Linked DNA regions of Oreochromis niloticus. The protein of the gene in region 2 interacts with the protein of the main gene of each other region in a pairwise test. Links are inferred from orthologs where the notes say so. Each region holds a gene or a part of one and is shown on either strand. Other genes may lie near its edges.

What was found.
Region 1: the proteins of nif3l1 (region 2) and dhps interact in binary tests that used the Homo sapiens proteins (3 or more experiments, as listed by UniProt). The two-hybrid records come from large-scale screens. The link is inferred for Oreochromis niloticus from reciprocal best matches to the Homo sapiens genes NIF3L1 and DHPS.

The regions. Positions count from the first base shown.
Region 1 is NC_031969.2:16,865,133-16,872,961, forward strand, and holds the start of dhps (deoxyhypusine synthase), read right to left. Parts: upstream 3,045-7,829; 5' UTR 2,774-3,044; intron 2,111-2,773; exon of another isoform or gene 1,525-2,110; intron 1,406-1,524; 5' UTR 1,401-1,405; coding exon 1,206-1,400; intron 599-1,205; coding exon 449-598; intron 364-448; coding exon 242-363; intron 1-241. Other genes in the region: guanine nucleotide-binding protein G(I)/G(S)/G(O) subunit gamma-7, read left to right, coding at 3,869-3,901, 3,986-4,084, 4,840-4,965; fbxw9 (F-box/WD repeat-containing protein 9), read right to left, coding at 5,887-5,961, 6,411-6,476, 6,569-6,772, 6,865-7,013, 7,146-7,829. UniProt on the Homo sapiens protein: Catalyzes the NAD-dependent oxidative cleavage of spermidine and the subsequent transfer of the butylamine moiety of spermidine to the epsilon-amino group of a critical lysine residue of the eIF-5A precursor protein to form the intermediate deoxyhypusine residue.
Region 2 is NC_031973.2:16,634,315-16,641,283, reverse strand, and holds the start of nif3l1 (NIF3-like protein 1), read right to left. Parts: upstream 3,098-6,969; 5' UTR 2,998-3,097; exon of another isoform or gene 2,904-2,997; intron 1,912-2,903; 5' UTR 1,902-1,911; coding exon 1,316-1,901; intron 1,198-1,315; coding exon 1,041-1,197; intron 1-1,040. Other genes in the region: cabp5a (calcium-binding protein 5a), read right to left, coding at 6,897-6,925. UniProt on the Homo sapiens protein: May function as a transcriptional corepressor through its interaction with COPS2, negatively regulating the expression of genes involved in neuronal differentiation.

The DNA of each region.
Region 1 (7,829 bases), on a different chromosome or scaffold from region 2:
CGATCATAAAGCGAATAAGCATGTTTTCTTTAAAGTGGACCTATTATTGCTTTGCCTTATATACTGTTCATCTACACTGTTTAAAAAAAGTTTCAAAAGGGGAAGTCAAACAGAAGAAAGCCAGGGGGATGAGCTAAAACGGAAGCTGAAGAGTGGCCACAACAAACAGTTTTATATTTTACTATTAATATTTTTATTTTACATGTTAGCTTACAGATACACTGCGGCAGCCCTAACAAACCTGTTGATGCCTCTCAGGCGGAGCTCCTTGCCGGGGAGGCTGAAGTCTCCCAGGTAGGTGTGAGCCAGGCACTTGATTAAATCCTCCTCGACGCCTCCTGCTGTGGTTACAATCACATCCACCTGACGCAGAGGAACAGATTCTAAGAAACCGGGTGACTGATTTAGAACTTATGTGGATCGTTACATGAGACGTGTCATTATGTACCATTTTGTGCTGCGCCAAATAGCGGATGCTTTCTCTGACTCCGGAGCTGATGAGGTTGGAGGTGTACCCCAAGAAGATGGTGCAGCCTGACTTTGGGGTTTCCGACTCATTTCCTTCCCCTTCCTCCACTGGTTCGAGACGCTTCTCGATCTGTGGTGGCCGAAATCATTGGTGAGCAACAGATAAACAGATATCGCAAACATACAACGTGGATCACTATGGCAACAAACACACCTTACAAGTGAGGCCAAACACAACAGCGTTGAGCAGCTGGCTCCAAAACCACCGCTGGCTCAATGTCAAACCTTCATCAAAGTCAACAAATTTGTACTTTTGCACTCCATCTCCAAGTTTTGAGGTAAACAGAGCGCAGGATAAAAGTGAGGTTTGATTGTGGGTGTGACACATGTGCCCGGTCTGGAGTGACTGATAAGCCTTTTGGATGAGGAGGGCGAATAAAAGTCTCTCAGTGTCAGTGGAGCAAGACTCCAGGAAGTTAAAAGCTTTTAGGGTTCTTTGTTTTGTTTTGTTTTTTTTAAATAGTGACATATTCATATCAATATGATCCCTATGATTCCCATCAATAGGATTCCTCTTGTACTGCAGTGGAAGAAGAAATGCCAAAAGATGCACATAGCATAACCTGGGCAAGCAAAACCAAAACTATCTATAAGACAAAAGGAGAAGGTGTGGGTGCCAGACACCTTGTAGTCGTTTACTGAAAGTTAATAACCCCCCCCAAAGGCATTCCTCTCACCATGGTGTTGATCTCCTGGATAGCCAGGGCTAAGCTGCTGGCCTGGAAACCCGTGGTGAGATAGGACTTCAGCACCGCATGGAGATCGACTCCCTGGTTGAAGTCGTAACCTCTGATTTTCGGCATGTCCTTGGGGAGGTCACAGCTAGGCTTCAGGACAGCCTCCATGGCAACTGAGGGCGCCTGGTCTGCCATCTTTTCTGCAAAAGACAATCACCAAACAGAGACTCTTTGAGATTTCCACAGAGATGGGCCTTCTTGGAGGTTTTCAGCATATTTTAGGTAAAAAAAATAAATAAATATAACGCACACTTGCAGATCCAGCTTATTCAGGATGTTATTTATTTGAATGTGCAAATGTTGGGAAGAACATTTTCCTGAAACATTTGGTTACTGGAGTGTTTGCATGTAAAGAAACTAAAGTTAGTGGATTCCTAGTAAAAATTTGAATAACTGAATTCCTGGAAAGGCTAGCAGCATGTTTCTAAGGTGGATGTCCATCCTGCAGATTCCTTTAAAGTGCACCTACTGCAGTTTTCCTGATTTTCTATACATCATTCATTACAGTGCTAAAAACCTCATAGAAAGGTCAACATATGCAAAAGTAATCCATGTGAACCAGAAGTGGAGACTATATACTGCTTTGTTTTTGGGCCTCCGAATGATGTCAGTGAGGGAGGATTTCTTCATTTGGTCAGCTAAGGCTCTGTGAACAACAGCTCCACCCATCTGCTATTGAAACCTTCTGTTTCCGAGGGCAGCCAATCAGAAGAAAGCAGGTTTTTAGGGAAGCGGTTGAGGGCAGGTACAAGATAAATAAGGATTATTTTAACTGTTATTTACATAAAGATACTCTAGTAGATTCCATAAGTAAAAACATGGAGCTGGAAATGAGCAGATAGCAGGTCTGTTGTATATTCTCGTATCTGGTGGCTCAAAATCTCTTTAATTTCATACCGTAGTTGAAGTGAAGGAAAATAACTTGTATATTTATTACCACAGCAATGTACTGCAGTTACATTGCTATAGATCTGCTGCACAGTTTACTCAACTATGCTGTAATTTTACTCGTTAACACTTTACATAAACATATGGCAAGCTTATAAAATCAGCTATCTGATTTTATGAGTACTAACGCTGTGAGAGGTGACTGGGCATTGATTTATCAGGATATTCTAATACTTATTTTGAGGATTACATATCTGGTGATTTCGTTAATGCACATGCTAATGTGAGAGTAAGCAGATGAATATTTTAAGTGTAAATGCGACTTATGGCCATCACGTTGGTTTTGATGAGCTTTTAAAAAAATAACATCGATTTCACAGCCACAAAATATCTAAACTTTAAAAATCCTGTGGTTTAGATGTAAAATTCCACTTATTTTTGGAAGAAATGCCTTTGTACAGGGACTTGTCTTTATTAAAAGAGCATATGGCGTTTAGCAGGTGCTAAAACATCAATGAAAACATACAAAATCCATGTGATCAGACGTTAGCTAGAAGCTAACTCTGAGTCAAACTAGCTTGAATCGCGACTTAACATCTAAAAGAGAAATGAAGACATACCTGTTCTTGAAGAGGCGTCAGGTGATGAAGAAGGCTGAGCAATAAACGGCTGTCACTACGCGCAAAAAAACAAATATTGAAGATTTGTATTCCCCTAAACGTCGCATGGATCGCCTGTGAGAAACGAGCTACTTCTACGGAAAGTGAAAAGGGACAAATGTGACCCAGGTTGCCCTTTTTTTTTTTAGCTACTCTACCTTTGTGATGTTCACAGTGTTTTTATTTCTCATCTTCCACATATAGACAAATAGTAATATTTTAGGAGATTTTTTTCCCACCCCTTCTTAGATCTCCGCAGAATTCCGTGAAGTTTCCCATTGTTTTGAGTGTCAATCAGTCCAGTGAGGGCTAATCACAAATCCTTTTTATGCTACACCCACCAGTTGCAGTCAGCCATGATCACTAATGAGAAATTAACAGGCCTTGACCATTTCAAGTTAAAACACAGTATAGAACCTTCAGCACCACTTATTAAAAGATTTGGGTGTAAAAGATAGTGTTGGGCCTGTATGTATACTGTTGAGGCTGTGTGGATTAGAGAAAATCCTAAATTTCCAATTCTTGTTTTTTTAAGTCATGCCCATGAGGAGTGTATGTAAACTTCTGACATAACTTTAGATGAATACTGTAATACTATGCAGTATGTTTTAATATTAGGGGAATATTTGACCTTGTTAAAATATTTTTCTCTATATCAAACACATTGTGAGAGCTCAGCAGTGTGTCACACATGCATTCGTTTCCCATCTGCCCTGATGTAATTAAAAAAAAAAAACTTGTCCTAAAATTTGTCATTCATCAGGACCCACTAATCACTGAACTCAAAAAGAGTCAGATGAGCTCAAACTTTTGTACTATCATAAAATCTTCTGTCAAAGTACAGACACATAATCTTGGTTTAAGGGCAGACCACATCTCTGAAGCACAGCCTCCAGCAGTGCCTGTGAAGAGATGTGATGTTTGTGACATTTCCACCACTGTGTTGTCTGACCTTTTCTATCACAGAGTCTTTGAACTGGCCCCAACAGGGAATTAAAAAAAATAAACAGAGGAGGGTACAGGTCAAAAGGAGGAGTCGGGAGCATCTCTGAGCAGATGCTCCTGTATAACCTGAGCTGTTTAGATCAGGTAAGTGACTGGTGTAACTCATTTTCCTGCTGCTAACTTTGGTGTCATAGGAGTACATTTTATTTCTGTGTTTTTGCTCTCAAGACAATGTCAGGAAAGATGTGCAGCAGCAGCAGCAGTGTTATTCAGGCACAAAAACTGGTGGATCAACTTCGGGTAGAGGCAAGCATGGAGAGATTCAAGGTGGGTAAGAAACTAAATCACCTTTATAGAGGCGGGCAGATTGATATAAATATTAATTGGATTGATACTAAGCATGATTTGGTTGATATTTGTTTCCATCCTCTACGTTCAGTATGTAGATCACTAAATTGTATTAAATTAATACTTTTTTTGGGGGGGGGGATAAAATACTATAATTTCAGCACGCGCTATGAATAATGTCTGAATCTTTTTGTGTTTATTGTCACATCAGTTTTATTTAAAGCCTTCAGCACATTTAAACAACAGAAGCAGATCCAAAGTGCTTTAGACACATACACATTTACATTCCAGGTCTCCAAAAAACCAAAAACAGTTACAAAATACATAGAAATCTGAAATGTGTTTTGTAGTGTTAATTGTTGAATGTAAAAATCAGTGTTTTAGTGGTCATTAAGATGTGTTCAGAATTTGAAAACTTATGATTCCTCTGGTTGAATTTATGACACACTGCCCTCCCGACATAAGCTGGCGACATAAGTTAAAGGTATCAGTATCTGTATTTACCTGGTATTGGATCAATATTAATTTTTAGTATTTTACACTTTAATTGCTCCATTAAAGTCCCTCCTTCTCCAAAGTACTGAATAAAATATATATATATATATATATATATATATATATATATACATATATATACATATTCATTTTATTTTATTTTTTAAACATCCCATGCTCACTGTCCAACAGTTTTTCATACTTGTGTCTAAAATCCAGTCAACTCTCTGCCCCAGCAGATCTCTCTGACAGCAGCAGATTTAGTCCAGTACTGTCAGGAGCACAGGCGCAGCGACCCCCTGCTCACCGGCATAGCCGCTTCATCCAATCCCTTCAAAGATAAGAAGACCTGTGTGATTCTTTGACGGCTCCCAGACGGCGCTGTGAGGAAAACCTCTGTCTGAGAACACAACCACGAACATGCACTGTGTAAACGATAATACATGTTCTCATCTGGGAAATCACAAAATAATCCACGCACTTGATTTTTAGAACATTTAATGTTGTCTTCTGTGGAAACAGTCTCTCAGCACGTTTGTAAATGATTTTTGGTCAATATTAAAATCACACACAGCATATGGACACAAATAATAACGCTTTCTTGACTGTATTCAAATAAATAGCTATAGAACTACGATCAGTGTGTCACAGCAATAAATACTTTACTGTACATGAAACATTTAAGTTAATTAAGTAATTATTGTTGTATAATGCCAGTTTACATATGAGATTCAATAAATGTATTAAAATTACAAACATTTACATGTCTGTGGTTTCAGTGGTTTGAACATAGCATATTTAAAGTGTCTTTAAGAGTGATTAGGTCAGTAGTGGCACAAAATGAAAATTTTGGGGGAAAACATTGGAAATAAACATTTGTTTTTTTCATCTGTAGAAAAATCTTGTCAGTGGCTCAAACAAGATAGAAATAAAAATAATAAAAATACAATGTGAGGGTTTGTGACAAAACGAAAATACCTGAAATATCCTCCACCACACATTTACAACTAAATTAAACAACTGAAAGCAGTCATTTCAAAATAGTTTACTTAAAAATTAAAAATAACCTGATTGGTCATCATCTGTCGTCATTGTCATCTCTTCTCTTCTCTTTTGTGTTCGTCTGTTTACTCAGCACTTACATGACTGTTGATATAGCCAGGCTTCCAGGCAACGGCAGCTTCTTTATTTGTTATTATACGTTTGTTGATTTGTATAGAGACACAGAACAACACAACAAAGACCGGGGTTCCTGTTTTCAGTGTTGCCATGTAGTTTCTTCCACTTCATTTTCGGGGCCTCCAGATTTGCACCCTGACATCACCGGACGCTACGGCGAGGACTCCGGCCTCCACGCTCAGCTGAAAGTTTTCACACAGTGCAGTGAGAGAAACGAGAGGGAGAGAGCAGACACATGAACAATGAAAAGAAGCCCACATTAATAAAGTTAAAATATCATCACTGATGCCCCGAGAGAGAACTGTCAGTACTTTGCAATCACTAATATTGAATCCCTCCAAAAAAGTTCAAAAGGTGTCGTCTTTGATCATCCGAAAAAAACAAAAAAAACAAAACTATAGCAACCCCTCAGCTACTGCAGAACTGACAGATCCTAACCAAAACCAGAAAGAGAGCAAATATAAAACCAGTTTTAAAGTCTCTGCATTGGCTTCCTGACAAGTTTTATACGGTGTGTGTTTGCTGGGGCTTTTTTGCACATGTTGCTGTTCTGTAAAGCATTCTGAGCTACAAAGTTGTATAAAAAAAGTTGCTATATAAGCAAAGTGTTAACTGACTGCACAGCACTCACCCCATGGACCCCAGCTTGATAGTGCAGGGTGCTTAACGTCCTCGGAGGCGCGCATGGTATATGAACCTGAAGCCCAGGCGGGAAAATTACAATTCATGACTTTAAAGACATTCAGTAGCAGAATTCCAGCAGCTTAAGTTAACGAAGAATTCTCTCACCTTGACGGTGCAATCAGATGAACAGGTGTAGAGGCTTCCGGAGGATCTGTGGATGCCAGTGATCAGAGCTGTGTGTCCCACATCAAACTGGGAGACAGCCTTAAAGGTCCCCGCCTGCATGGTAAAGGAGTGCAGCATGCCGCCGTTGTCTCCTGCCCACACCTCACAGCCACTGTAGCTCATGGACAGCAGGTAGGAGCTCAGCTGTAAAGTGGTGGGTTGGGTGGAGTTAGTGGCTTGGTGTAAAGGTGGATATAAGTATGTTTACAAAAGCACAAGCTCTTCAAGAAATCTACCCGAAGTCTCTTCAAGCCTTTGCCTGCTCTGCGGTCATAGACGGCCACAGTGCAGTCTTTACTCCCTGAGATGATGTATTTGTCATCTGCACAGAGGCACATTACGGCGTTACTGTGCATACGGATGCTTTTCACCAGTGGTGCAGCAGCTGTGGACAAAAACAGACAGAATCCACCTCAGCAAGTCATTTGTCTGTATAACTGCTTTGCATTTACTAAACTCTTGACCCTCATGTGCACTTTCTACACAGCAAAACAAGCTTCATATAAATCCCTCTCACCTCTGGTGTCATACATGCTGACCTGCTTGTCAAATGTACCAGCCAGCAACATGTCGGGCTGACAGGACAAGCAGAGAACAGCAGCCCTGGTCCTGATGAGGGCCCTATCTGCACCTCCTGCCTGCAGGTCCCACAGCCTCACAGTGCTGTCAAAGCCCCCTGAGGCCAGCAGAGGTCCTTGAGATGCCAGGCACCAGACCCAGCCTCGATGGCTGCTAAAATCACCCTGCCGTCCCATCGTGTGCAGCAGCGAGCCCAGCTCCAGATCCCAGAGCTTTACGTTCCAGTCTCTGGAAGCTGTGGCACAGACCTTCCCCTCTCCCCCAAGGAGGAGGACCGAGTTTACATGGGCAATGTGGCCTGAAGGCAGGGTAATGCACTCCAGTGCTGGTGGTGGGCTTGGACTTCTTGCCTCTACATGTTGCCCATTACCCAGATTCCTGTGGTCTGGCAAGTCTTCTTGGTGATTAAGAAGTGCATCTCGGCCCTCGTTGGCATTAAAAACCCTTCTGTGGTCCATTTCTTCTTCCATTAGTGCTGCAGCATCACCCTCTAGTCTGTCTTCAAGCTCTTCTCTTAATCTCGCTACTTGGTCCCCACCTAAGACATGCTGCATTTCACCCTCTTCACCTTCCATTGCCACCTCCATTGCTTCATCCGCGCCATAAGCAACCTCCTGCACCG
Region 2 (6,969 bases):
CATTTCTCGATAACTAAGACATGAATTTTGAAAACGTTGGTTTCTGGCTGCGCTAAGGTTCTTTCAGACCCTGTTTCCCATGTTTAATCCATGATTTACAACTACAGAAAAGCTTCTTTCCCCAACTTAAAAGCCACTTTGAGTGATGCAAGTGTATTCTGATTGGTCCGGGTGTGAGTGTCAAACACATAAATCGAACGACCACTAAACAAAGGTGACATTAACATCAGTAAAACATTAGCCACGTAAACAACAGCTGTTAAAGCAAGGCTTAAAAAGAAGAGGAAAAAAACACAAAGAAAAATCTGCAAATATATGCAAGGAGGAAGAAGAGAAATCCATCATTAAGTTTGGATATATTATTAACAGAAACTTGCTGTTTCTAAAACAAGAAAAAAAGATTTAGATTTGGAATATGGTGTCTTATATAGGGAAAAATCACACTGAAGTTGGATCAAAATGTTGTTGTTTTTTCCTTTTTCCATATTCAAACTTTAGTATGTGTGAAATTATTCACCCGACTTAGTTTTAAAAGGATATTATGTGCTTTATGCATGAGAAACTGTAAATAAAGTATCAGTCCTCTACAGTTTCTACAGCCTTCGAAATATGCTTTCAGTGATAGGATATCCAATTATTTTAAGGCCTTCAAGCATCCATGTTCATAGTGCCATACTACCTGATATTTACCCTAATAATGACATTTTAGTTTTAGTTGGGAAAAGGGGCTAAACACAGCCTTACTTTCAACCCCTAAGAAATAAAATTTATAACATATATATATTTGAAGTTTCTGTAAGTTGTCCGAATGCAAACTGAAAAAAATCTTTGGTAATAGTTATAGTCCAAAAGCAGCTTTGGATTACCTGTGATGACTTCAAGTGTCTGTGGGTGATTTCCAACTTTGATTAAAGCTAAACTCAAATTACAATAATGCGTGTTTGGAAGAAATAAAACAAAAGTAACACATATATGACAAAACTACCAAAATGGTCCTTGAATTTAAAGCTTGTTGCTAATCGGTGATGTCTGAACACAACCTGCTGCCTGAATGCTGTAGGGTCGTTCCACTGTCGCAAGCCTTCAGCTCCTCCATGATCATGTTTAGTTCCTCTGCGCTTCTGACCGTGAATTCCAGTTTGTGACTGTGGGAGGCGGCGCCGAGAACCTGACTCAACACCGACACCTGACCGCTGCCTGATGCGACAAAGAAAAAAGCAGTGGGGATGAAATGAAGGTCAGTGAATAAGCATCATGTTCATATCTAATGATTTAAGTGCGAGCATCACATTTTACATTCAGAGAGACTTCTCACCAAGTCCTCCAACCAGCCAGTCGTTCACGCCTCCTTTCACGCAATCCCATGAAGTGTGAGGGGAAAAGACCGCTATGCCAGCCTCCACGGCCCGCACAGCCAGCCGCTGCTTCCAGTCTTTCTGAACCAGACGCTTGATTGGCCGAAACAACGGCGGGTGATACGAAATAATGAGATCGCAGCTCACAGCCACTGCTTCCTCCATGACGGCATCTGTGAGGTCGTTGGTTAGAAGAATGGTCTTAACGGGCCGAGGTTTGCTCGGCTCCACCAGCAAGCCGACATTATCCCAAGACTCTGCAAGCGACAGTGGAGCAAGCTGCTCCAAAACCTGCAGAACTTCCTTTAACTCCATCAGACCGGACGAATGAGCTGAGGAGAAATTAAAAGATGGAGGAAGGCGAGCTGAGCTTTGTGTGCTAGGCAGGAAGTGATGACTGTGGGTAGATGAAGAAAGAGAATGAAGGACGGATGAAAAGGCAGAAGAGCACAGAGCAGCTCGGGACGTAAAACTCTGTCTAGGCCAAAGTCTTCTACTGGTGAGCGAGAAAAATGTCCAAGAGAGATTTCTACATCCAGTCAACATCAGGGGAGATCTGTGTGGACAAAAAGAAATAACTAAATAATCATAAATGTCAGACATTCACTCATATGTGACGGCAGGTTTTTGTACAAGGCTGAAACTAACAATTGCTGAGCTATCATCTTCTTCTTCTTTCCACTGTCCACTTCAGGCGTTCACCACAGTGGATCATCTGCCTCCATCTCACCTCGCTCTAAAATCCTCATCTGCATGACCTCCTTCACTACATCCATGAGTCTTCTCTGTGGTCTTCCTCTTCTCCTACTGCCTGGCAGCTGCATCTTCAATATTTTTTGTCTAATATATCTACCTTCACATACATACCTCTGCTCCTGGCAGCTTCACTATCACACCTGTCTTACTATCGTTCACACAGTGTTCTTCTTAATCTAGCTTCAAAAACGTTTTCTCATGTCTTCATGGTGTCATCTTTAACCCTCTGTGGTCCCTCTTTGTAATCTCTATACCTCCATAGGATTCTACTGATTTCCTGATCAAATTATTAGATGTCCTGTCTATGCTGAGTCTATTCTCAGTCCCAGCCTGTGCTGCTCACACTGACGCCTTCAGATCTCACATGCACTGAATGTCTGACATTTTTAAAAGAAAAAAATGTAACTTAATCCAGTGATCGGTTTTGTATGGTTTTATACGCATTTCCACCTTTCCATTTCTATTTCCACATGGATACAGATGTTGTTTCTGCGTCGCTTACAGACTCCATCCAAAGTTAAACACAGTTAGCAAACAAATACAAACAGACGGCTACAACTCTTAAGCGTACATTTTTTTAGTCCGGAGCAAATCATTCAGTAAAAGCCACACACATGCACTTTATGATTATTATAAACATTATTCATAGACTTAATACCAGCTGCTTTGAGTTGTGACAGCTGCAAAGCGTGCAGCTAACAGCAGAGCTAGTTAGCTGCCATTAGCTGCCACAGTAAACCGTCCTTTAACGTCACCACACCAGCATGTCAATATGTGCACGACTCAACTTACTGTCGCTTGTTTCTCACGGATGAAAACTAATAACACTATGGTTTTCAGTTTTTAGCTAAATACATTCTGGTGAAGTGGCAGAGGATGTACTTACTACAGAACTCGCAAGATGTCCCTTTTCGGCTTCCGTCCGCAGCAGCTTTTTTTTTTTTTTACTTTAATGAATGAATTTATTTATTTATTGATGGGGTCAAGTTATGTCTCTGGCCGTGACCATGAGCACATATATATATAACTTACAAAGTAAGTATTATAAATTAGTAATACTTTTTTCTTGTTTTTTATTTATTACCCAAAACTGGCCATTGCGCCAGCGACAAAGAAACTACAACTTACATGTAGGAAGGACTGAGCGCATGAGCAACAATACAAAGAGGAAAATAGAGAATAACAATGAATAAATAATATTAACATAATTACAAGTGATATTAATTCAGCCCAAATGAAATAAATAAATAATAAAAAATAAAAACAGAGCTTTGTAAATGTTCATTTTCTGTGACTTTTTAAAGTTTCACATATCCTTCATAAAATTTGGAGAAAGATGGTTTTAATATTCAGGAATCTGCATCGATGAATAAAATAAACAGTATTATCAAGACTTTGTTGAACTCCAGCTTGGGAAAATTTGGTTATATATTTGGTTTGGTTTGGATTTTGTTGGAAAGAGGAACTGGTGTAAGTTTTACTCCCCTTCTCTGTTTGGCATTTGTGTACATCTCTTCTATAATTGGTTTCAGTGCTGCACAGATTGTTGGACGCTGATAGAAAAGACCTCCTGTGTCATCTTTAGTTCACCCCCAGGTCTTATTAGTCTACACCTGAAGGCGCTCTGGCGTGACTCTGATGCAAGATTAGAGGCTGTGTCCATTATGCTGACAAGTTTCCTCAGCACTGAGAGGACAGAAGTGGATTTCCTTAAGACCGTATTGAGTCAATCAGCTGTGCTGTCCCAGTACACTACAGCATAAAAAATATGACGCTGGCCACCAAAGAGTAAGAAAACAACAGACGCATTGAAAGATTCACAAGTGGCTCACTGTTTAGCTACAGTATTCATTTAAAGGAACAAAACTTGTGCACATTTTTCAAACAGAGGCCAAGAGGAAGTTAATTAGCTGAAGGTGAAGCAGCTTACTGATCTCTTTATTACAGGTCGGACGTCAGTAAGACTGAGAAGCACAGAATTTCCTCATCACTCACTTCTCCTGTCCCACTCAGTCCTTTCTTTTTCCGTTAAGGTAGTGCAAATAGCAACAGATTTGTTGAAGTATTTGTAGCAGTGGAATAATGAAATAACAACATTTGAGCATCCCAAAAAAACAGTTAAGAAAAACAATATTTCTCAAGTCGTTACGGTTCGGCTTAGTGTTTTTCAACAACAAGCTTCTCGGTGTTTATAGCGCTGGTGTTATGCAATATTGTCTGTACGCAATGTTATAAAACAAATTCACAGATTAATGTGAGCAAGCAACAACTGAATGACTTTGATAAGCTGTATTTACTCTCACAGGGCAGGTGCTCCAGCAGCAGATACCCCGCAGTGCATCCGACTCTTCTCAGAAAGATTAAAGCTAACCAAATGAAATCTGCCTGGGGAAGGGGCTATCAGTGCAATAAGTTAAAATGGTAAGGCTTGTTTTTTTGTGTTTTTTTAATGTGTCTGGCTGAGAAGAAGTCACTGGGTATAGAGGCTACATCAGAATTGAGTCTGAGAGCAACCAAGAGAGAGATTACTGAGGATTAATGCAATAAAGGTTGACGCTGGATGTTAGAGGGATCAGGAAGGATCAGGGCAAAGGCCAGCCAGTGAGCATTACATCATCGGATTCTTCCTCTGGACTCATCAGCCCTCGCTTGGCACTACATCCATAAGGTTAAATGTGCCCCCCACCCTCCTCTTTAAACACCCTCACTTACATTAGTGTGCCATTAATAGCAGTGAAATCTTTCCTATGTCACTTTTTTTGTTTCAGTGTCTCTCTGAGTCCCAATCCACATAAAAGAACAATCATTTCAAAATAAAAGTATTAATATTAATACTAATAGTAATAAAAGACGAGATATTTAGTTACTTTTCCATTAAGCATACCGACAGAGCGATCACTCTCTCTGTGGAGCACCACTCACAGATGTGTGTTTAGTAATTAGGTTCACTTTTGTTCATTGGCAGCATAAGTCCTCATGCCCCATCTGTCTGTCTGTTTGATGCTGTGCCCAGTTTGTCATGCAGCAACATCTGCCTGGCTGGTGTTCCCCAAATGTGACAGTACAGTGTGTCCCGTAGCACATCCCTGAATTCAGCCCCAATATTTAATCCCAGCTGCGCTGGCTCTGGATCCGTATGACACAATTACTGATCACCAACTGCAAGAATGATTTAGTCCACAGGTTAAAAAAAAAAAAGAAAGTGTTCACGTGCCACAAATTTCACTCAACTTTTCTTTTCCTTTCTTTTTTTAATGGATATGGGGTTATAATACTCTTTAATACTATTAAGCTCCTCTCTGTGTTTTATGTCCATATTTCCGTGAAGTTCCCAACTTACACAGAGTATTAACCTCAAATAATGGCTCAGACTGTCTCTCTAAAAGGACAGATTCTGGGACATGAACCTCTTTTTTTGTTTTGGGGGAGGTTTTTTTGCTCTTAATACCTTTAAATCTGTTATGCATCAGTCACAAAATCCCAAATTTCTGCCTCTTTTCAGTTACAGTTTCTTATTGTCCTTCCAAAGTTTTTACTCAATCCTAGTAGAACAGAGTCCCTAAACTTTTTCATGTTTAAATCACTTCCTTCTGGCATGAAATGACTGCACATTACTGGAATGCAAGAAGTCACAAGGACAATATGGTCTACGCTTAAATGAGTCAAGTGTCTGTGGGTTTCTTTCAGGCGGACACAGAGAACTTTCTTGTTCCACAGATACTCCTGAATCCTTTTCAGATGTTCAGATCAGATGTTTTATTTTGTGCTTTGCCAAAGAAAGGCAGATCCATGTTACTGCTTCACTTGTTGGAAGTTAGTTACAGATTACCTAATACAACCAGCTCAGGTTAATAATGTACAGTACAGTAGTAGCTTAACTTTACATCCTGCTTTGTTGTAACATTGTTTAAATGGTAAGAATAATTCAATAACAATACAAATATAAAAACAATTCCAATTCAACAAACTTCCACTGTATACAGTATATATCAGGGTTGTCAAACATGAGGCCCAGGGGCCAGAGTGGGCCTGGCAAAGACTACAATCTGGTCCACAAGATGCCTTTGGAAGATATGCATACATTTTTGGACTTTTCAATGTATTGTAACAAGTTTTGGAGTTTTTTCCTGCTGATGAAGACTTTCCTCGTGCCCATTCATTCTACACCAAAGTAATTAAGTAATAGAGAAACAATTAAACACAGAAAATTTCATTTTTTTTCACTATTGACTATAGAAGTTTCATTTTTTTACAATAAGTCCACAAAAAAGGACACTATCTGTGAAGTAACAAGAACTTTCTGATTTTTTTCTGTAAACTTACACAGTTATTTCTCACAATCTTGCCCAGAGAGTCACGCTGAGAGGTTTCTTTCATTTACCACAGCAGCATTACTTTATCATGTGGAAAAACTGAGACACACTTGCACTTCTTTTTCTTATATTAAGATATTTCAGTGATTAAATATATACTTAGACTTCTTTCCACTGCCCACTAAGGATCAACTAAATGAGTTTGACATCCCTGGTATATATGATGAAACATAACAACAGAGTTTTTTTATTTTAGCACTCTTACATTTGAAAAATCATTACAAATTGTTATTATTTGCATAGCTATAAAATCCGCTCTGAGATCAGTCTGATATTGCTTGTTTCCAGCATGTAATTTTAACATTTCTTGTGTTTGTGTTGTTTTTGCAAGCCCAGAAAAGAACAGCATCAGTGTTAGTGCGTGTTTGCAGAGGTGCAAATGAATGTTCCTGACTGGCCTTGTCCTGGACTGTCATTGATGGGACATCATTCTGACAAATTCTGCAAAGGAGAAGAAGACGCGGATCAGTTGCTTCACTTCACTG